Linked DNA regions of Macaca mulatta. The protein of the gene in region 1 purifies or fractionates together with the protein of each later gene. This does not show direct contact. Links are inferred from orthologs where the notes say so. Each region holds a gene or a part of one and is shown on either strand. Other genes may lie near its edges.

The links.
Region 2: the proteins of SF3A2 (region 1) and RBM17 purify together in Homo sapiens (affinity purification with mass spectrometry; 4 studies listed by BioGRID and IntAct, counting the BioPlex papers as one, with this or other methods). This does not show direct contact. The link is inferred for Macaca mulatta from reciprocal best matches to the Homo sapiens genes SF3A2 and RBM17.
Region 3: the proteins of SF3A2 (region 1) and PLRG1 purify together in Homo sapiens (affinity purification with mass spectrometry; 3 studies listed by BioGRID and IntAct, with this or other methods). This does not show direct contact. The link is inferred for Macaca mulatta from reciprocal best matches to the Homo sapiens genes SF3A2 and PLRG1.
Region 4: the proteins of SF3A2 (region 1) and ZC3H18 purify together in Homo sapiens (affinity purification with mass spectrometry; 3 studies listed by BioGRID and IntAct, with this or other methods). This does not show direct contact. The link is inferred for Macaca mulatta from reciprocal best matches to the Homo sapiens genes SF3A2 and ZC3H18.

Annotation. Positions count from the first base shown.
Region 1 is NC_133424.1:2,993,090-2,999,023, forward strand, and holds the end of SF3A2 (splicing factor 3A subunit 2), read left to right. Parts: intron 1-636; coding exon of another isoform or gene 637-659; coding exon 660-769; intron 770-2,268; coding exon 2,269-2,318; intron 2,319-2,397; coding exon 2,398-2,538; intron 2,539-3,120; coding exon 3,121-3,189; intron 3,190-3,282; coding exon 3,283-4,083; 3' UTR 4,084-4,194; downstream 4,195-5,934. Other genes in the region: AMH (muellerian-inhibiting factor), read left to right, coding at 4,872-5,286, 5,902-5,934. UniProt on the Homo sapiens protein: Component of the 17S U2 SnRNP complex of the spliceosome, a large ribonucleoprotein complex that removes introns from transcribed pre-mRNAs.
Region 2 is NC_133414.1:7,673,530-7,679,216, reverse strand, and holds part of RBM17 (splicing factor 45), read right to left. Parts: intron 3,151-5,687; 5' UTR 3,133-3,150; coding exon 3,010-3,132; intron 1-3,009. UniProt on the Homo sapiens protein: Splice factor that binds to the single-stranded 3'AG at the exon/intron border and promotes its utilization in the second catalytic step. Involved in the regulation of alternative splicing and the utilization of cryptic splice sites.
Region 3 is NC_133410.1:163,138,696-163,144,382, reverse strand, and holds part of PLRG1 (pleiotropic regulator 1), read left to right. Parts: intron 1-550; coding exon 551-693; intron 694-1,343; coding exon 1,344-1,397; intron 1,398-2,184; coding exon 2,185-2,275; intron 2,276-2,473; coding exon 2,474-2,561; intron 2,562-3,885; coding exon 3,886-3,987; intron 3,988-4,395; exon of another isoform or gene 4,396-4,500; intron 4,501-5,687. UniProt on the Homo sapiens protein: Involved in pre-mRNA splicing as component of the spliceosome. Component of the PRP19-CDC5L complex that forms an integral part of the spliceosome and is required for activating pre-mRNA splicing.
Region 4 is NC_133425.1:83,995,453-84,001,139, reverse strand, and holds part of ZC3H18 (zinc finger CCCH domain-containing protein 18), read right to left. Parts: intron 4,725-5,687; coding exon 4,607-4,724; intron 2,042-4,606; coding exon 1,773-2,041; intron 1-1,772.

The DNA.
Region 1 (5,934 bases):
TATGGAGGCTGAGGCAGGAGAATCTTGAATCTGGGAGGAAGAGGTTGCAATGAACCGAGATGGCGCCACTGCACTCCAGCCTGGGCGACAGAGCGAGACTCAGTCTTATTTAAAAAAAAAAAAAAGAAGAAAGGCCGAGCGCAGTGGCTCACGCCTATAATCCCAGCACTTTGGGAGACCAAGGCGGGCAGATCACCTGAGGTCAGGAGGGCAAGACCAGCCTGACCAACATGGAGAAACCCCATCTCTACTAAAAATACAAAAAATTAGTCGGGCTTGGTGGTGCATGCCTGTAATCTCAGCTACTGGGGAGGCTGAGGCAGGAGAATCGCTTGAACCTGGGAGATGGAGGTTGCGGTGAGCCAAGATCGCGCCACTGCACTCCAGCCTGGGCCACAAGAGCAAAACTCGGTCTCAAAAAAAAAAAAAAAAAGCAGAGGCATGGAGTTGTTGGTAGGACCCCAGCCAGGGACAGTGAGGAGCATGACAGGAAGAGAACGTGCCTGTCCTATCCCTGTTCTCAGCCAAACCCCAGGGCCCCTCCCAGGCCCCTGGCCCTCCTCATCCCTCAGTTTATAGTGAGCTCCAAGGTCAGGGGGCCCGTGGCCTTGGTGCCTGTGTGTGGAGGGGCCCCAGCACCACGTCCATCCTGCCTGCAGGGCCCGGCGAGCCGCCAAGGAGGCCAAGGAGGCCCCTGCCCAGCCTGCACCTGAGAAGGTCAAGGTGGAGGTGAAGAAGTTTGTGAAGATCGGCCGCCCAGGCTACAAAGGTGAGTGCCCGGAGCGGCGCTGGCCACAGCCGCTGCTGCTGCATGAATAGGTTCTTTGGGCTCCAGTGCAGGAGGCGCAGCCCTGAGACCCTCATTCCTGAGCCGCTGTTTTCTGGCCTTGGTGGCCATCCCTCACCCACCTGCAGCCTCTGGCGTTGTGTCTGGGAGCTGTCAGGCTGAGCCCGATAAGCACCCGTCTCACCCAGCGGCCCCTTTCCCAGCTGAGCCACAGTCTGTGCCCTCCTGTCCGAGTGTTGTGGAAGCTTCTGGGGAGTCTTGCCAAGCCAAAGAGTGGAAGTGGAGGTGTGGTGAGCCCTGGCACACTCCTCCGGTTAACCTTGAAGCCTCTGAAGGAGGACAGGAAGAAGCGGCTGTTAGAGGCGGCTCCTCCGGGACCCTCAGCAGTGGGAATGGCAGGAGGTGACCTGGTTCAGAAAGCCAGGGAAGCGGCCAGGGTGGAAGAGACAGACCTTGTGTCTGTAGGGTCAGGAAGGCGGGCACGCTACCCAGCAAGTGTTTTTTTTTTTTTTTTTTTTGAGACAGAGTCTCGCTCTGTTGCCCAGGCTGGAGTGCAGTGGCGTGATCTCCACTCACTGCAAGCTCCACCTCCCGGGTTCACACCATTCTCCTGCCTCAGCCTCCCGAGTAGCTGGGACTACAGGCGCCCGCCACCTCGCCCGGTTAATTTTTGTATTTTTAGTAGAGACGGCGTTTCACCATGTTAGTCAGGATGATCTCGATCTCCTGACCTCGTGATCCACCCGTCTCGGCCTCCCACAGTGTTGGGATTACAGGCATGAGCCACCGCGCCCGGCCCCAGCAAATGTTCTTTACGGAAGATGGGGACAGCCTGTGTGCCTGGCCTCCAGACAGGAGCCTGCAGGGCACAGGCCCCGGGGCAGGTGTGCTGGGTGGACGAGGGTGGCTAGAGCGGCAGACTCCTGGTGGGGAGGCCCTGACAGGTCCTGAGCTTGGGCTCAGGGCAGTGAGGAGGTGGAGGGCTTGTGAGTGTGCGTGTCTGAGGCTGCTTGGAGAGTGGCCAGGCCGTAGGCGGCCCAGCAGCCATTCTCGGGGTCCAGGCTGCTGAGCTCTGGTGGGAAAGGCATCCTCTCCCGCTCACCCTATAGATGGTGTTGGCCCTGTTCAGGCGGCCCCACTCTAATCCCAGAGCCAGGGTGCCATGGGCCGCTCCCTACCCAGTGGCCCCGACTCCTGCTGGATAGTGTCCCAGCACCCTGGGTGAAGGGCTCTGGGGATTAGGACAAAGGAGTACCACCCTCGGTCCCTGCCCGAGTGACTCCGCAGGTAGCTCAGCCCTGGCGCACCTGTGCCTTCACCTATACCAGAGTCCCAGAGCCTGGGCGGATTGGCGGTTGCCTGGAGCCACAGGGCCTCCCCTGGGGTCTCGCCCTCGTTCAGTGGGTGGCATTAGCCTGCCCCAGGTCCCTCAGCTTTGGGGAGGACAAGCAGCCGGGACCTGAGAGCTTTCTGTGTTGCAGTGACCAAGCAGAGGGACTCGGAGATGGGCCAGCAGAGCCTCCTCTTCCAGGTGAGATCAGGGGCTTGGGTGTGGGGGGCGGCCGAAGGCACCTGAAAGGTGGCGCTGCCACCCGGCTGTGTCCCCACAGATCGACTACCCTGAGATCGCCGAGGGCATCATGCCACGCCACCGCTTCATGTCTGCGTACGAGCAGAGGATTGAGCCTCCGGACCGGCGCTGGCAGTACCTGCTCATGGCCGCTGAGCCCTATGAGACCATCGCCTTCAAGGTAGCATGGCTGCGGGGTCCCCTGGGCCCCAGGGCCCCCTGAGATGTGCGAGCCAGAAGGATCTGCACAGGCTGGGCAGGGCGCCCCTCCTATCAGGCTGTGGGGTCCCCTGGGATCCCCGAGACGGAGCCAGAAGGGTCTGTGCAGGCTGGGCAGGGTACCCCTCCCATTGGGCTTTGCAGGAGGGGGCCTGCTTGGGCTCCACTGTGCCCATGGAGAAGGGAGGCCGGCAGGGCTGAGCGCTGGGCCTGTGAGGCCTTCGCCAAGTGACCTCGCTTCTTGGTCTAGGCTGCTGGAGGGCTTCCCACAGCCTGTGCCTACGCCTGGACAAAGCAGCCATCAGGAAACAATACAAACGGTGCCTGTCCAGGGCGGGGGCCAGCGTGTGCTAGCGTGGAGGCCGGGTCTGTGTCACTCCAGAACTGAACCCTGTGCCCATCGAAAGTCTTACCAGGCCGGGGCCTTCTCTTGGGCTCCCAGGGTGGAGTCCGGGCCGGGGAGGCTAACGCCTCAGGCTCCCTGCCTGATGGCTACCCTGAGGTCACAGGGACCAGGAGCCCTCTCTGTCCCCCGCCTTCCCAGGTGCCGAGCAGAGAGATTGACAAGGCGGAGGGCAAGTTCTGGACACACTGGAACCGGGAGACCAAGCAGGTGAGTGGCTAGCCCTGAGCTTGGCTCCTTCCTGCCCAGCCCCGGTGGCCCTAGCCCTGCCCGTGCCTGCTGAACCTTTCTCCGTCTCTCTAGTTCTTCCTCCAGTTCCACTTTAAGATGGAGAAGCCCCCGGCTCCGCCCAGCCTCCCCGCCGGCCCCCCTGGGGTGAAGCGGCCTCCACCTCCGCTGATGAATGGTCTGCCCCCTCGGCCACCGCTGCCCGAGTCTTTGCCACCGCCACCGCCGGGAGGCCTACCTCTGCCACCCATGCCCCCCACGGGGCCTGCACCCTCAGGGCCCCCGGGACCACCCCAGCTACCCCCACCAGCTCCAGGGGTCCACCCCCCGGCCCCAGTGGTGCATCCCCCCACCTCTGGCGTCCATCCCCCAGCTCCTGGCGTCCATCCCCCAGCTCCTGGGGTCCATCCCCCAGCTCCTGGCGTCCATCCCCCAGCCCCTGGGGTCCACCCACCAACCTCTGGGGTCCACCCCCCGGCTCCCGGAGTCCACCCTCCAGCCCCCGGGGTTCACCCTCCAGCCCCCGGGGTTCACCCACCAGCCCCCGGAGTCCACCCACCAGCCCCGGGGGTCCATCCTCCCCCATCAGCGGGGGTTCACCCCCAGGCCCCAGGGGTACACCCAGCAGCCCCTGCTGTTCACCCTCAGGCCCCGGGGGTGCACCCACCAGCCCCAGGGATGCACCCTCAGGCCCCGGGAGTCCACCCCCAACCTCCCGGGGTCCATCCATCAGCTCCTGGGGTCCACCCTCAGCCTCCTGGAGTTCACCCCTCAAATCCTGGGGTACACCCCCCAACTCCCATGCCCCCAATGCTGAGGCCCCCACTCCCCTCCGAAGGCCCAGGGAACATACCTCCCCCTCCCCCAACCAACTGAGAAGCTGCTCCCTCCCCCAGCAAGCTCAGCGCCAGGTGCTCCTGCCTTTTGCCATCGAGAGAAGGCTGCTCTTTTGTACCGCCCCCTGCTCATTAAACAGCCTTCCCCAGCCCCGAGTGCACTGATGTCTGCAGCGCCGCCCTCCCTTGTCAGTGCTGTGTGGGAGTGCCAGGCACAGCACCATCCCTGAGTTTGCGCCGACTGGGGAGGGCCTGGGGCCTGCCGGGAGACACCTGTGGGAGGCCTGAGAGACAGCTGTACCTTGGAGGTGGCCTGGTGGAGGACAGACTCCACCAGCCAGCTAGGAGGGGGTCTGGGGTCCTGTCCTGGGGAGGGAAGAGCAGACTCTTGTGATATCCTTGGGGTCTCCAGATAGCCCACCAGGGGTTGGGAAGGTGAGCAGGGACAGGGCGCCCCCACTGACTTGGGACCCTCCTCCTCCAGGCCCACCCCTTAGCACCCAGGACATCTGGGCCCCCCGCCCCCAGCGCTGTCTAGTCTGGCTGCTTGGCCATCACTCCCAGCCTGGTTCCCACTCCTGTGCCTTCTGGGGACGGGCCCTCAAGGACAGCATGTTGACAAATCAGGCCCAGCTCTATCGCTGTGGGGAGGGAGATAGGCTGCTGGCGACAGAAAGGGCTCTTTGAGAAGGCCACTCTGCCTGGAGTGGGGGCGCCGGGCACTGTCCCCCAAGGTCGCGGCAGAGGAGATAGGGGCCTGTCCTTTACAAACACCCTACCTTCCACTCGGCTTCCACAAGGCGGGCAGCCCAGCTCCTGGCAGCACCCATGACGCGGGACCTGCCTCTCACCAGCCTGACCCTGGTACTGTCCGCCCTGGGGGCTCTGCTGGGGACTGAGGCCCTCAGAGCAGAAGAACCAGCTGTGGGCACCGGTGGCCTCATCTTCCGAGAAGACCTGGACTGGCCGCCAGGCAGCCCACAAGAGCCTCTGTGCCTGGTGGCACTGGGTGGGGACAGCAATGGCAGCGGCACCCCCCTGCAGGTCATGGGAGTTCTGAGCGCCTATGAGCGGGCCTTCCTGGGGGCCGTGCAGCGGGCCCACTGGGGCCCCCGAGACCTGGCCACCTTTGGGGTGTGCACCCCCGGTGACAGGCAGGCTGCCTTGCCCTCTCTACAGCGGCTGGGGGCCTGGCTGCGGGACCCTGGGGGGCAGCGCCTGGTGGTCCTGCACCTGGAGGAAGGTACGTGGGGCCCAGCCCCGAGCTTGGCACCGCCGGCCTCCTTCAGGTGGGCCAGGTCCTCTTAGGGAAGATCAAGGGCTGGCAGAGCCCACACCCTGGGCAGGGAGGCTGTGGTCTTGTTCTGGGACTGGGCTGTGGGTCCATGGCCTGGAAGGTGGGCACCGCGCTCTGTCCTGTCCCTGAAGCCCAGCTCTTAGACCAGCCCCTGCCACAGCGGCAGGGAGAGAGCTGCTGTCTTCTCGCCACCCGTGAAGAAACCACCCTGTGGCTCGGGGCCAGTGGAACCCTCCTCCCCACCGCCCCACACCTGGCCAGCCTGTTCTCGGGGCCACTGGCCTGAGAGACTCCCTGCGGGGAAGGGGCTTCATCGGGCGCCCTAACCCAGAGACCCCAGGGCGGCAGCCCCACCCACAGCCTCAGACGCAGCCTCTGCCTGCCCGGGCGGTCACCGCTCCCTGGCTGCAGGAAGGCAGTGAAGAGGGACACTAGGTCCCCCGCTCAAGGCCCCCTGCACAGTGGCCAGAGCAGCAGGGACGGATCCCAAAGACTCCCAGGGGAGTGTGGGACGGGCCTGGCCTTCAATGGCTCAGGCGTCCCCTGCTGTCCTGGCTGCAGTGACCTGGGAGCCCACACCTTCGCTGAGGTTCC
Region 2 (5,687 bases), on another chromosome or scaffold:
CCTGAATATAACAATACTTATAAATTTAAGCAAACAAAATTTAACCCAATTAACAACTCACAAAGTAAATATGAAAGTTTAAAGAATGGAAGGGGGATTTATTAGAATCACATCTTTTCTTTTTTTTTTTTTTGAGATGGAGTCTTGCTCTGTCGCTAGGCTGGAATACAGCGGTTCGATCTAGGCTCACCGCAACCTCCGCCTCCCAGGTTGAAGCAATTCTCCTGTCTCAGCCTCCAGAGTAGCTGGGATTACAGGCGCATGACACCACACTGGGCTAATATTTGTATTTTTATTAGAGACAGGGTTTCACCATGTTGGTCAGGCTGGCCTCAAACTCCTGACCTCAGGTGATCCACCCGCCTCGGCCTCCCAAAGCGCTGGGATTACAGGTGCGAGCCACCGTGCCCAGTCAGAATCACGTATTTTCTATTATTTTCTATTCAATATAGAGTTGGCCCTCTGTATCTACAGGTTCCACATATCTAACCCCAGGATGAAAATATTAAGAACATAAAACAATACAAGAAAAAATACAAATTAAAAAACCAATACGGTATAACAACTTTTTACACAGCATTTACATTGTGTTAGGTATTGCAAGCAATCCAGAGATTATTTAAAATATGGGAAGATATGTGCTGGTTATGTGCAAACTCCACACCATTTTATATAAGGGACTTGGGCAGTCTTGGATTTTGGTATCCGGTGCGGGGGGATCCTCGAACCAATCCCCTGTGGACACCAAGAAACAACTTTGTATTTTTCAAATGGAGATACAAATGAAACCACAGCTTCAAATTTTCTCTACCAAATAAATATCTTTACAGGTTTGGCTAGGCCAATCTAGTATTCTGAGTAACTAAACAGCCTAAGAGAATGCAATCTTCATTTCCCTTAAACAAACAAACAAACAAACCCACAAAACTAACTGTACATAGCAATCTCAAAAGTTTTAGAAAGTTAGTAGAAATAACTTCACAAGCTACCTCAAGTTTTAAAAATCTATATGAGGCCGGGCATGGTGGCTCACATCCACATCTTTCCTGCAAAGCAAAAGTTACATGAAATCTACAAAGATTTTATACATTTACTTTTTTAAAAAATTAAAGAGAAAAACGAGGTTTTGCTAACCTTCCTTACATTTGGAATGAAAACTTGCTTTAAAAAAACAAAAAATACTCGCATCCAAAAAATCTAAATTTGGTAATGATGAATTTTAAAAAGACAAAAAAACTTCTACAATACTGAACAATCAAACGTAAGCACTTCCATGTAAGTATCTATTGATGTGGTAAAGGGAAAAGAAAAATGAGTAAAACTTTAAAAAAAAACCCTGTGTATTATGGAAATTTTCAAACATGAAATTAAAGAGATTATAAATTCTTAAGTCTCTGCTATCCAGTTTCAACCATTACCAACTCATGGGTAGTTCTGTTCTTCCCTCCCTCCCCTGCCTGGTACTGAATTGTTTCGAAGTAAATCCCAAAAATGACATCATCTTATCAGTAAATATTTCAGCATGTATCTCTAAAGTACTTTTTCTCAAGTTTAATTATTGCCTCCCCAACAAGGAGCCTTTTAATACATTTTTTCCGACACATGAAATTTTAACACTGTGCACAATATGAGCAAGATTTTTTTGCCCCCCAAAAGACCAACATTCGCTCCGTTTGGGGGGATATAGCCTCCACTGCGAATGCAAACTCTAGAGCATAACGACCTCTAAAATAGTAAACAAATCATACCATTCTCATGCCTACATTTTAATGGCAAATATCCAGTCGACAACTATGTTTTTAATGTTTTACATGTTGAGTTATTTCAAGGACATTGCCAATATCCAACATGCACACAACAGAAACAAAAGCAATTAGCATCCAGACTACATATGCCTGACACCTTCACAACCAACCCCAGCCCTCAATAAGTTACACCCAGCAGCTTAGGTATTCTGTGGAGCTTCTTCCCAAAGTGCTGCTTCCAAACTACCGCCAACAAACCAGTAGGAATGCTACTTAAAAATGCCCACTCCTGGGGCTCCAGTCTAAACTAGAGTTTACCAGAATATCAGGAGTATGGCTACACAATCAGCACCTTAAACAAGTTCTCACTCAATCTTAGACCTCCACTACTTAAGTTTGAAAACCAGTGTCACTGCTGGTTCAGAGTACCAGTTTTGCTTTGTTTGTTTGTTTTTTTGAGACAGAGCCTTTTTTTTTTTTTTTTTTTGAGACGGAGTCTCGCTCTGTCGCCCAGGCTGGAGTGCAGTGGCCGGATCTCAGCTCACTGCAAGCTCCGCCTCCCGGGTTCACGCCATTCTCCTGCCTCAGCCTCCCGAGTAGCTGGGACTACAGGCGCCCGCCACCTCGCCCGGCTAATTTTTTGTATTTTTTAGTAGAGACAGGGTTTCACCGTGTTAGCCAGGATGGTCTCAATCTCCTGACCTCGTGATCCGCCCATCTCGGCCTCCCAAAGTGCTGGGATTACAGGCTTGAGCCACCACGCCCGTCCTGAGACAGAGTCTTGCTGTGTCACTCAGGCTGGAGTGCAGTGGCGCAATCTCTGCCTCCCAGGTTCATGCCATTATCCTGCCTCAGCCTCCCGAGTAGCTGGGACTAAAGGCACCCACTCACCATGCCCAGCTAATTTTCTGTATTTTTAGTAGAGACGGGGTTTCACCGTGTTGGCCAGGACGGTCTCCCATCTCCTGACCTCATGATCTGCCTGCCTTGGCCTCCCAAAGTGCTGGGATTACAGGCGTGAGCCACCGTGCCCAACCCCACAGAGTACTGTTTTTCTTCATTCCTATCCCATGAAATGTTCCCATTCCCAGGAGCCAGGAGCAGCAAAGCGGCCTTAAACTCCTCATTCCTCTCCCCCTACAAATGTTTAACACCATTTACCCAATACAAAGGCAGAAGAGCAAGCTGAAACCAAACTCCTTGTCATCCTAATGAGCAACCCACTCTGGAGGCCTCTGCTCTCCTGCTCTGGGCTTGTCTTTACCTTTGCCTGAGTGAGAGCTGCCTTCTTCACCTGAAGCTGAGACTGCAGAAGTTTGAAGTTTTTGGACCAGCCTTCTGTTTTTGAGTCACTGGTCTCCACTCCTAGGTCATCGTACAGGGACATCTTTTCTTCAGTTTAATGCTGAAAGGCAAAAGGGGTGGGGATTAAAGAATGCACAATTCAATAAAGGCTTTTCATGTTAAAATAAAAATCACGAAATTTTAGAGGTAAAAGGTCCAGGACCTTTCAGCAACAGAGGCCAAGGCTCCTGGTACCATTAATGCAGGGTTCTTCCCGATATATGAAGCTACACCATGTATTATTTTTAAAATAAGGCTCTAGAATTCATTTTTCCATCTACAAGACCATGCAGTCAGGTGATCCATGAGTGAAATCCTTCAAAGCTAGGGCACATAATGAGGTAAGAATTGAGACATTATTAATTACATATATCCAATGTTTAAAAAATTCTATTCATGTCAGTGCCAAAAAGTAGAAGCCTTAAAAACACAAATTACCAGGTTGATTTAGCACAATTAGCTACCCTTTCATAAAGAAAAAATTTAAACATACTCTTAGGGAAAAAAGTGACAGAAATGACCTCTTAGATGTGATTTTGTCAATTACGATTATCGGCGGGGGGGGGGGGGGGGGGGCGGTGCTGGTTATATCTTAAATACTATGACTTCCTCATATCCCCCCCAAGTGGAAACTTGTCATCTTTAATGATAGCAATTACAAAGAGACAATCAACAATCTGCATGTGAACAAGCAACACACAGCTTCCGTGCAGAACAGAGGAACACGTGAAAACAAAAATCAAGTCAGCAGGCACAAAGCATGACATGCAATGCAGCATCGGCAGCAGGTCCCATGAAAGCCCAGCACTGTACAGACATGGATGCTGGGGTTTAGGGAATCAATCTGCCCAAGGCCACAGTGGAAGCCCCTTCCAACCCAGCCAGGCCAACTCCAGAGCCCTCACCAGTGAACCCCAACTGCCACTTTTAAAAAAAAACTCAACATTCCGAAACCCACCGACATGCTTACTTCTTCAAATAAGAAATCAATCTCACAGACAGAAAGAGAACATAATTTAAACAGAAACCCACAAGTTGCAAGCAAATGCTTAGCACAGTAGTTCCCAATTTATGGACAAATTCCCAAAGTCTGTCAGTTCCCAGGGGGCCCATAAAGCATTTTCCCATGGAAACAGTGTTATCGAAAAGCCTAATTTGCTTGTGTTCTGTGGCTCAGAAGAGAAGGAAAATATTTAACACACATCCTCCTTAGGTCTGACTCGGCAAGCATTTCTCTTGAAGGTACTCTTACTTCTCAGCTCCTCCATTACCAGGATTCTAACACCCTGCCACCCCAACACCTTAGCTGATGTTGGTACCACACTGTTTGGAGTGAGGGACGGAGTGCACACCAACTTCTGTTCCCTCAGAAGAACTGCCCTGGTCTTAAGTACAGGAACTCCCTGCCTGAAGTCAGCATCCAGAAAACTGGTACCACTTTTTAGTTTCTTCCATTCCTTCATAGGTGAACCCTCCGATTAATTAAAACCTCTCCCTTTTCCTTCATACGTGAACACTCCGATTAATTAAAACCTCTCCATTTTGATTTTTAAATGAAAGGCCCCCCAAGGCCGTACAGAAGCAGGGAAAGCAGACTGTCCAGGGGTATCGACGGCTGACTGCGCAAACGAATCACATTAAGAATGAAGGGATGGCGGCTGCGGTGGCTCACACCTGTAATCCCAGCACTTTGGGAGGCATAGGAGGGCGGATCACTTGAGGTCAGGAGTTCCAGATCAGCCTGGCCAACATGGTGAAACTCTGTCTCTATTAAAAATACAAAAATTAGCTGGGCGTGGTGGTGGACGACTGTAATTCCAGCTACTCGGGAGGCTGAAGCATGACAATCGCCTGAATCTGGGAGGCGGATGTTGCAGTAAGCCAAGATCACACCACTGCACTCCAGCCTGGGCGATAGATCGAGAGTCCGCCACCTCCCCTCCTCCCGCCCCCGCCAAAAAAAAGAATGAAGGGATGCTGGGATGCAGACAGACTCTCCTCCTGATTGACATCTTCATTGCCAAACTGCACTTTCTCAGGAACTTGGGGATGACGTCTCATGACACAGGCCTGAAGCACTGAGGCCAAATCAGGAAAAAATAATGAACTCCATTCTTTAACAAATATGGCTGAAATATAACCATGTCCTCAAAGTCTTGGAGGGAATCTCCTGATGTCCACTTCAGAGCCTAGTTTAATAACTCTGAACTCCAAGAAAACCTAGATCCAGTTTGTTTTGTTCACTGCTCTATCCTCAGACTAAGATCAATATCCAACCCACAGCTAAATAGGAAATGAGGCCAAACTGCAGTTTATACTCCATTTACAAAGCCCTCTCAATTAGAAATTTCTGGCCAGCAATCACTGGCCAGAAGGAAGAACACCACACCAAATAGCTTTTGAGGTTTTTGTACACTTTTCTTCCGGCTTACCCAGAACTCAAAACTCATTGTTCACATCTAGATACATATCCTTAAATTTTAATCTAAAAACACTCAAACAGCAACAGTAAAGAAAAACAATGCTGAGAGTCCAGCTTAGCATTGTGGCTCCCAAAAACACTTCTTCAGAAATGACCATGCACCTTTCATCTAACTT
Region 3 (5,687 bases), on another chromosome or scaffold:
TATGTGCAGTGTTCCTTCTTTGTCCTTTACCCTTTTAAAATCGACTTAACTCCTCAAACAAGCATTTATATTTAATTTGTAAAGTAGACTATTTTTAAAAGTAATATAAGTGCATTTCTTTTTAAAATATTGAACCAATTAAGTACTTTTCTTAGTTCTAACTAACCTGTTTGGATACATCTAGTAAAGGTTGCTATAGAGTTTTTACTATATTTATATTTTGAAGGAAAGCGTATTGACTTTGAGGTTTCTTAAAGGGTATGTTAGTTTCTATATATCTTTCAAGCAGACCCTTGATAATTTATCATAAAATATTTTCTATTAGGTAACAAACTAAAATATTACTTAGGTTTAATGAATGCTGTGTGGTGGAATGTGAGCAAAAGAACAGATATGGTGGGGAAATGCACTTGGAAATTTTTGATTCTTTTAAATACTACTTAAAATCTTACTAGAAACTTTTCCTACATGATTGGGCAAACTTAAGCTGTCTAAGTGTTTGTTTTAAAGTATTTATGGATACGTTCTTATGTTTATAATTTCTAAATAGTCACAAACGGAAGATGGCAATCAAGCTTCGTAATGAGTATGGTCCTGTGTTGCATATGCCTACTTTGAAAGAAAATCTTAAAGAGAAGGGTCCTCAGAATGCAACGGATTCATATGTTCATAAACAGTACCCTGCCAATCAAGGTGAGTATGGTATTATCAGAAATGTCAGACGTATGTGTGAATTTTAAAAATAGAAAAATAAAATGTGTTATTTTTGCCCCTGCTGGCAGGACTTAGGTGTGGTCATACAGTATTTAATGGCTGTACCAGTATTATAATGGAAGTTTTTATCCTCGTGGGAATACTGAGACATTGGTTGATGACTTTTTTCTTATAGGAAATAAAAATGGTAGTATAATGATGGCAGAGATTCTTAGAATGTGGAGAAGGTCACAGTAGAGATTAAAGGAAAAAATTGGAGAATATTCTTAACCTGTGGGGATACCATCTATCCTGTCTGTAATTCAGAAAGATGAAATTAAATACTGAAATCTTAATAAATGAAGAGAATTCAAGCTTCCACAGGAAATTTGCTTGGAAGAAATACCAGAGTGGATTATCACTTGATAGGAGGGCTTCTTTGTATACCATTGCTATATAGCAAATGGACAAGGACATGGTTTACAGAGATCAAAAGTGACCAATTTCCCTTATTTCTGAGGCTTAACTTTAGTTGAGAAAATGTGATAGATCCAGTTGAAAATGTAATATTATTTGATACTTTAAAGAGATGATAACTTTTATATATAAGATAAATTCACTACTGTTGATTTTTTTTGTCTTTTTTCTAGGACAAGAAGTTGAATACTTTGTGGCAGGCACACATCCATACCCACCGGGACCTGGTTAGTGAGCTGTTGTATATTGAAAATGTCTTAAAAATGTCACATACATTTTCACTAACGAGCCAATAATGACATTCTTGTTGCCTGTGAAATGCAAGATAAGTTCAATAGCCAAGCATCCGTGCATAGCTTTGTAGGTGATAATGAATACTCATGTGCCTTTATTCAGCAAACATTCTTGAGTATGTATAATTTTTCAGGCAATGTGCTAGGAATTCAAAGAGTAAAACTGTTGCAGGCCTAGACAAATTTATTATCTGGTGGTTTAGGCAGACATGTAAATATCACCAAGCTTATAAAAATGATGGGAATGTTAGAGGCAGTATCTTAGAAACATGTCCTCTGTCTGTATTAAGGTATTGGCCCACAGATGGAGTGGCCAGTATAACCGGGTAGAGGACAAAAGGCTTAGTATATATAGAAAGTGCAGGAAAATTGGGTGCTTCTGGTTGTAGTAAGTTACAACCACTCTTGGAAACATTCTGTTTGTATTTGAGGAACTGCTTAATACTGACTTTTGAAACTAATACCCAGATATAATGGAAATTAACTTTACTGTTCTGGGCTGCTTTAATACCTTGTAGGCTGTGATCAAATTTGAGTTATGTGTTACTAAGCAGTATTTATTGTAGAAATTAAAAACAAGATGAGCAAAACTTAATCAAAATTTGTATCACTGCCTGGAATTAATAAACGTTTGGAATGTTTTCCTTCATCATTTTATTTTAAGTGCATGTAAATGAATAATACAAAGCTACTAAAAGAAATTGATTTTTCATTTTAATAGGGGTTGCTTTGACAGCAGATACTAAGATCCAGAGAATGCCAAGTGAATCAGCTGCACAGTCCTTAGCAGTGGCATTACCTTCTCAGACCAAGTATGAAATATTATAATTACAAAGATCTTAAAAGCATATTTCACTGTTCACGTTTTTTCTTTTTAAAATTTTTTTATAACTATTGTATGACATTTTCCTTTATCAGGACTTATAACAATTTAAAATAAAGGGTTAGTTTTGCAGAATACATGACTGGAGGCATTAATTACTTTGAATATAATATTTCTTTTGCCTCAGGACTGATGTAAATCGTACTGCACCTAGTGGAAGTGAATACCGACATCCTGGGGCTTCTGACCGTCCACAGCCTACAGCGATGAATTCAGTAAGTTTTTCTGCGTCAGATAGCAGGTTTCTAACTTTTTAAACATGTTGCCTTATTTCCCTCTGATCGAAAGTCTTACCTTAAATACTAAAGAAATGAACACTTTGGAATTATTAAGATAAATAGCAGCCTGAGCTAGTCATTCATATTTCATAGCCCTAACACTCAAGTTGGTAGTAAATTAACATTTTTTGGAATGCTGTTATTTGTCTAATTGTACATTGTGTATAATATGTATTTTGATAAAGATAATGTGATGTTGGTATTTATTGCCCACTATTAAAAATGCAAGGAGAGTTTTTCTGAAACCTGTGTTAGTATGCATTGCATATGAAAGTCTTTTTTTTTTTTTATTAAATTTTAAGTTGGTACAGTTATGTTGAGTGCTATTAGTGTTGTACTATTCATGGGCTATACAACTAGTCTTATAAATGAACATTTAGAAATAAGTTTATCTGTAGGTAAATGGCAACTGGTATTAGTATGGTAGAAGTAGTTGTAGAATTATTTTCTATAGTTATTTTATTGATTTATTTTTCTGCCATGTATTTTATTATGCTGCCACTTGAAATAAGTGCTGGCTTTGCTTCTCAGCTCATTATGCAATTGTTTTGACTTCATGAAGTGAATGAATGTGTAACCCCCACGTCTCATTTCTTCCTTTATCTTCCATTCAGAGCATATCTTCTGTCCAGGCTCTCTACCCTCCTTATGAGGGTGTAATTTAAGCTTCTTGAGGGCAGGAACTTTATGGGCTTAATTATTTTTTGGATGACTAGATGACTGCTAACAATAGATGGTATATCAGGCAGTACACCTGTTAAAATAGTATTTAAATATTGTATTAGAAGATAAATAGAAGGAACTATCATATCAGTCTTTGCTACATTAAATCCATAAGGTTAAAATATGACAATGAATGGCAGTGGCATTAATACACTTAAAATGATTTTAATAATGCGAGCTTACATGGAGCATTTACTACTTTTTACATCTTTGTAGTAACCCTATGAAATAGGCACTATTCTTCCCATTTCATAGGTGAGGCACATAGAGGTTACGTAATTGTTACCTACTGTCAAACAGCTAGTAATGGGCCAAGCTGGGATTTGAACCCATACACAGTGATGTGTGTTCTTAAGTCTAATGTTCTGCCTCTCTCTGATTTTATAATTGCTTTTTAAAATTAACATACAGAAAATTTTATTTCTTCGTTTATGGAAAAAATCTTTTGTAAGTTCCCTCTTTCCATTTCCATTTCTGAATTGATACAAAGTCTTCGGTATGATATCTTTAATAATAATAATGTCTCTTCTATGTCTAGATTGTCATGGAGACCGGCAATACCAAGAACTCTGCACTGATGGCTAAAAAAGCCCCTACAATGCCAAAACCCCAGTGGCACCCACCGTGGAAACTCTACAGGGTGAGTGACTCTGCATTTATTTTATTATGTGAATCATGATTGCTTTCTAGTTGACAAGCACTGAAGAATAGAGTAAGGAGGAAAAAGAGTGAATATGAAAAACCGGTAGAGCAATCTGAGGTGGATTGAGAAGAGTCTTAGGGAGTATCTTAAAAGATCTCTTGGGAAGGCGACTTCCTTAAGTAAAAGTTACACTTGTATTTTATATAAAATCATATAAAATGTCAAGATAAAGCTACTAAATATGGATTGCAGACTAAATAAATTTAGAAAGTGTTCAAAGTATTTAGTTTGAAGGTGAAAGGGGAAACACCATATAAAGAAATTCTTTGGGCCTACCAGTTATTCTTTCAACTACAATAAATTAAAATGAGTCAGAGTGTATCATCTAAAAGAAAATGGACCTGCGTGCTCACTTCAGCAGCCCATATGCTAACATTGGAACAGTACAGAGAAGATGAGCATGGCCCTTCTGTAAGGATAACACAGATTCGTAAAGTGTTCCATACTGTTTATTTTGCATTGCTTGCCTGTATCAAAATATCTCATGTACCCCATAAATATATTTCTACTGCGTACCCACAAAAATTAAACACAAAATTTTAAAAAAGAAAGTGTACATAGTAGAAAATGTACAACTACACGTAATTTAATATATATTTTCCCCATAAATATATTTCTACTGCGTACCCACAAAAACACAAAATTTTAAGAAAGTGTACATAGTAGAAAATGTACAACTACACGTAATTTAATATATATTTTAAAATTTTTATTTTTCAAATGATTGTACAGCAAGAGCTTTTTGTTTGACATACAGGTCTAATGAATTGTAATAGATGTATTGATTTGGGTAACCACTACCACAATTAGGATATAGACATTACGTCACCTCAAAAAACACCCCTGTGCTATTTTTTTGTAGTTATATCTTCCTTCACCTCTGACAATCACTGATCTGTTTTCTATCACTATAGTTGTCTTATTTTTTTTCAATAATTTCAGTTCTAATTTATTTTTAATTTTTATGGCTAACATAATAGATGTGCATATTTATGGGCTACATATCAAATCTGATACAAGCATACAGTGTGTAGGCCAGGTATGGTGGCTCATGCCTATAATCCCAGTACTTTGGGAGGCCTAGGCAAGTGGATCTCTTGAGTCCAGGAGTTCAGTACCAGCCTGGGCAACACCACAAAATCCCGTCTACAAAAAATACAAAAATTAGCTATGTGTGGTGGTGCACACCTGTAGTTCCAGCTACTCCAGAGGCTGAAGTGGGAGGATCACTTGGGCTCAGGAGGCGGAGGTTGCAGTGAGCCGGGATCACACTGCTGCACTCCAGCCTGGGCAACACAGTGACACCCTATCTCAAAACAAGAAACAAAGAAAAAAAAGCATACAATGTGGAATGATCAAATCACAGTAATGGGGATATTTATCTCCATGGTAATTGGGATATTATTTCTTTGTATTAGGAACATTTCATTTTACTCTTCTAGTTATTTTGATATATACAATAAATTATTCTTAGCTATAGTCACCCTATTGTGCTACCAAGCTAACTAGCCAAACTAGTGCTACCAAACACTAAATCTTACTCCCTTTATCTAACTGTATTTTTATACCCATTATCCACTCCCTCTTTATCCTCTGCCTCCCTACTATTCTTCCCAACCTCTATTAGCCATCATTCA
Region 4 (5,687 bases), on another chromosome or scaffold:
AGGGAGAAACACGACGCAGTGTGTCCACGGAGGAGTAAGGCACTGACCCACGCCACAGTGTGGACAAATGTTAAAAACGCTCGAAGTGAAAGAGGCCGGTTACAAAAGGCCATGTATATCACACACTTGTTCCTACAAAATGTTCTGAACGGGCAGATCCCTAGAGACACAAAGCTGCTAAGAGACTGGGAAGTGTGGGCAAAGTGGAGAGTGACTGCTGATGGGTACAAGGTTTCTTCTTCTTCTTTTTTTTTTTTTTGACAGAGTCTTACTGTTACCCAGGCTAGAGTGCCATGGCACAATCTCGGCTCACTGCAACCTCAACTCAACCTTCTGGGCTTAAGCAATCCTCCTGCATTAGCCTCCTGAGTAGCTGGGACCACAGTGGCGCACTACCACGCCCTAACTTTCTGTATTTTTTTGTAGAGACGGGATTTTGCCATGTTGCCCAGGCTGATCTCCAACTCCTGAGCTCAAGCAATCTGTCCACCTTGGCCGCCCAAAGTGTTGGGATTACAAGCGTGAGCCACCGTGCCCAGCCTAAATTTTTTTAAAACAATTTTTTTTTTAAGATACAGGGTCTCGCTCTGTCACCCAGGCTGGAGTGCAGCTGTGCAAGGGTAGCTCATGGCAGCCTCCAACACCTAGGCGATCCCATAATCTTCCTGCCTTGGCCTCCTGAGTAGCTGGAACCACAGGCTCATGCCAACTCGCCCGGCTAATTTTTAATTTTCTTTTTTTTTTTAATAGAGATGGGGTCTTGCTTTGCTACCCAGGCTGATCTCAAACTCCCGGCTTCAAGCAATCCACTTGCCTCAACCTCCTTAAAGTGCAGGGATACAAGTGTAAGCCACCGCAAGGTTTCACTCTGGGAGACAAAAGTGTTCCCATATTGATTGTGATGATGGCTGCACAACTCTGAATATTCTAGAAACCACTGAATTGTACACTTTAAATGGGTATGTTGCATGGTACATGAATTATATTTCAATAAAGTTGTAAGAAACACCCACAAAAAACATCATCCAGTACTCTAATGTCCAGAGGCCCATCCATTCTGCTCTTAATAGTCAAGTATATTTGAAGGAAAAAAACGGCTGTCCCGAGCCCCAGCGCCTGCCTGTCTCATGGGTCTTCGCTGTTCCCCCAGCAGCTGGCAGCAAGGATCATTCTGCACCCACTCCACAAAGGAAACGGCAGGACCCCAGCCCTCCCCTGCATGCTGGCTGCTGGAGCGCCTCCCCCTGGCCAGCAACACGGACGCCCCACAGCACCTGAGCCCAGTCCCAAGCTCCGGGGGCCAGGCGTGCTTTGGAATTCAGAACTCTGCTGAGAACAGTAACATGGCGCCCAGGGTGTGAGTTACACACCATGCGTGGTATACAAGGGCAGTGTCTGTTAAAGCACACTGATGTTTGCATGTGGACTGTAAGCACTTTCACATCAGTGAGATCCCCTAGAACAAGAACAGCCTCCCAGGAGCTCAGGGCAGATGTCACCACCTTGGGAGTTTTACAGAAAGGCCCTGCGTCGGAGAGCTTTGGGTTTGGAACCACAGGTTCGGGCCGTGGGCCTGCACTCGTCCCCTGGGCTCCAGAGCTGTGGGCAGCAGAATGGAAGCACAGGTCGAGGGGCTAGGTACAGACTGCGTGCCGGACCTGCAGGTCGAGGGGCTAGGTACAGACTGCGTGCCGGACCTGCAGTTCGGGGGGCTAGGTACAGACTGCGTGCCGGACTCCCCACACCCCTGGGCTTCGGGAACCACGGTCTACCTTGGTGGCTGCGGGGAGCGGGGCTTGGGTTTCCCCTTCTCCTTCTCCCGCTCCTTCTCCCGGTCGCGGTCACGGTGCTGCCGGTCCTTCTCGTCCCGCTTGGCTCGCTCACGCTCCCACTCCTCCTTCCTCCGCTGCCGCTCCTTGTCGCGCTCACGCTCCCGCTCTCGCTCACGCTCCCTCTGCCGGCGCTCCCGCTCTCGGTCCCGCTCCCGCTCCCGCTCGCGCTCGCGCTGTCTGTTCTCTCTCTCTCGCTCCCGCTCCCTTTCCTTTGTTAAAAAGCCAAACACATGGGGACACAGTGCGTTATTTGGGTGACTGAGGCACTGAAAGCCCTGGCTCCAACACCACGCGATCTGTGTCACAAAATCACACCTAAACCCCACAAACCTACACACAAAACGCCAAGTGCACACGACTATGGCTGAACTCTGCGGTGGAGTACAGAGGAGATGGCAAGAGAGAGGCAGGATCAGGGAGCACCCTCCAGTGGGGATCTAATTCCCAACTCTCTCCTTAAAACACAATGTTAGGCCGGGCGCGGTGGCTCAAGCCTGTAATCCCAGCACTTTGGGAGGCCGAGACGGGCGGATCACGAGGTCAGGAGATCAAGACCATCCTGGCTAACACGGTGAAACCCCATCTCTACTAAAAAATACAAAAAAAACTAGCCGGGCGAGGTGGCGGGCGCCTGTAGTCCCAGCTACTCGGGAGGCTGAGGCAGGAGAATGGCGTAAACCCGGGAGGCGGAGCTTGCAGTGAGCTGAGATCCGGCCACTGCACTCCAGCCTGGGCGACAGAGCCAGACTCCCTCTCAAAAAAAAAAAAAAAAAAAAAAAAAAAAAAAAAAAAAAAAAACACAATGTTAAAAACCGGGTCAGATGCCAAATTAGAGCAAACACGAACTAGGAGTGAAATCATCCCAACCGCCAATTCTAGACTAACTCAAGGCAGCAGTTCTGCAGTCACAGCCCAATGCCGCTGGGACAGATGGCCTTCTGCCATGTGGCCTGGGCAAATCCATTCGTCCATCCAGAGACTGGAGTTCCAGGCTTGTCCCAGGTGGGTGCAGCCACAGCAGTGCACATGCCCTGCCTCTGGAGCAGAGCGGGCATCCAAAAGGCTGCTCCTGTTCTTCTAGTACAATCCTCAGATGCCCTTTCCAACTTTCTCTTTGCTCTTACTCATTCATTTGCTCTAATATTCAATGTTAAAACTGAATAAAGTCCAATTACAGTGCACCTGACGAGTTTCAGGCTCGAGGCCTCTGCTGGGGAGATGTGGGGTGCACCCCCAGCCTCCCTGCTGCCCCTCCCTCAGACACAGCAGAGAAGAACGCAGTGGAAAGGGATTCCTGGGGCTTTCTCCCACATTCCAGGGTGCCCTGCCCAGGGGTAGGGAGCAGGACCCTGCAGCCCACCTGCAATGAGGAAGCTGCTCTATGGAGAGACGGGGCACGAGAGGATCGAGCAGGGGGACTTCTCCGGCACAATAGGGCCCTCTCCTCTCGGTGAGCTCACCCTGATGGGCTCCTGAGGAGACAGCCGCACCTGGTCCTCAAAGCTCATGACTGTCCCCGCAGTCACAGAGCAGGAACTACACAGCAGCTTCTAACGGACCCTTCCCTGGAGCACTTCGTCAAATCACCCTAACAGTTAAGATGAGGAACTCACAGTCTGAAGCACTTAATTCATCAATACGCTAAACTGAGGCTCAGACCAGGGAGATTTCCAGGGAGGAAATCTCAGTATAGACCAGTCTTCCATGAGAGGAGTGAGGTGCAGCAGGCCCGCAGGAACACACTTAACAAGCTGGCTGAAGTAGATGAAAACAGCCGCCACATCCTAAACGGGATCACTGAGGGGCAGGGAAGAGTGACACACCCGATCAGGGAGACACAGGCATCATTAAGTATACTGGCAAATCTCATTTTCAAAACCAGGCCGAGCTGGGTTCCGGGGCTCACACCTGTAATCCCAACACTTTGGGAGGCCGAGGCAGGCAGATCACCTGAGGTCGGGAGTTTGAGACCGGCCTGACCAACATGGCAAAACCCCGTCTCTATTAAAAATACAAAAAATTAGCCAGGTGTGATGGTGGGCACCTGTAATCCCAGCAACTCAGGAGGCTGAGGCAGGAGAATCACTTGAACCTGGGAGGTGGAGGTTGCAGTGAGCTGAGATCATGCCATTGGACTCCAGCCTGGGCAACAGAGTTAACTCCATCTCCAAAAAAAAAAAAAAAGAAAGAAAAAAGAAAGAAAGAAAGAAAAAGAAAAAACCAGGACAGGCGCAGTGGCTCACATCTGTAATCCCAGCACTCTGGGAGGCCGAGACAAGTGGATTGCTTGAGCTCAGGAGTTCAAAACCATCCTGGGAAACATGGTAAAACCCTGTCTTTACAAAAAAAATACAAAAAATTAGCTGGGCATGGTGGTGCATGCATGTGGTTCCAGCTACTCAGGAGGCTGAGGCAGGAGAATCGCTTGAACCCAGAAGGTAGAGGTTGCAGTGAGCCGAGATTGCGTCAGTGCACTCCAGCCTGGGTGACAGAGTGAGACCCCATCTCAAAAAACAAAAAACAAAAACCAAAAAAAAAACTCCCAAAACTATAGCAAGAACCAGTTTTCAGGCAAGTCCTTGTTCAAATGACCACTGATTTAATCGCTGGCTCTGAATTAGTTCTCCATAACAATCAATTTGGTTTTGAAATTGGTACACTGTGCTGACTCTATAAGCTCATATAAAGCCCTATATTTTCTACTATAAATAAAAAGGGATGACTTTAATGAACAGATCATGAAGTTCATATCTGGATATTTAAGTCATACTTACTCGGTAATTATGGTACGGCTCTGTTTCTGTATACTGCACCCTGAAATTCTCATACTGTCCGCCACGCCAAAACCGCTCAATTTCATAGTCATAATAAGGGTCCGCATAAGGCTCGAGTCTGAAAAGGGCCAATGAAAAAGAACTCTCATCACTTAGGAACACTGGTATAAAAAGACCACATGAAACATTAGGGACAGAAAGTAACAGACCGTGACTCAGTGGGGTTTACTCCAGGAGTGCAAGGTTAGCTCAAGGTTAGGAAATCTATCCACAAACTACATGTAAGAGCAGGCCAAAAGTCAAGGGGTTCTTTTCACAGATGACAAAAATGTCTGACAAAAATTCAATAGCCTTTTTGATAAAAATACTCAAGAAAATAGGAAGTGAGGGCTGGGTGCGGTGGCTCATGCCTATAATCCCAGCACTTTGGGAGGCCAAGGCGGGTGGATCACCTGAGGTCGGGAGTTTGAGACCAGCCCGACCAACATGGAGAAACCCCGTTTCTACTAAAAATACAAAATTAGCCGGATGTGGTGGTGCATGCCTGTAATCCCAGCTACTCAAGAGGCTGAGGCCGGAGAATCACTTGAACCCGGGAGGCGGAGGTTGCCGTGAGCCGAGATCGTGCCATTGCATTCCGGCCTGGGCAACAAGAGTGAAACTCCGTCTCAAAAATTAAACAAACAAACAAACAAACAAGGAAGTGATACTTTAGCATGATAAAAATATACTGACACACTTTGGAACTAAAGCCAGCACCTTACTCACTGGAGAACAGGAGGAGCTCCCCCAGGAGACTCCGCAACCACCTGTCCCTGTGTGGAGGCACCACCTGACTGGACAAGGGGAGCCCACAGACGCACAAGAACACACAAAAAAGGAGCAAAGCGAGCTCAGATTCGCACAACGATACGATGCTACACACGAAAACCCAGAGACCTGATAAAGCCAATTCAAATACACAAAAAAGAAATTTGGAAAGGCAGACGATTAAAAAAATTAACATAGAAATCAGTGTCTTCATAGACACAGATTATAACCAGTTAGGAGGCAGAGTGGAGAAAACCACATTTACAAAAGC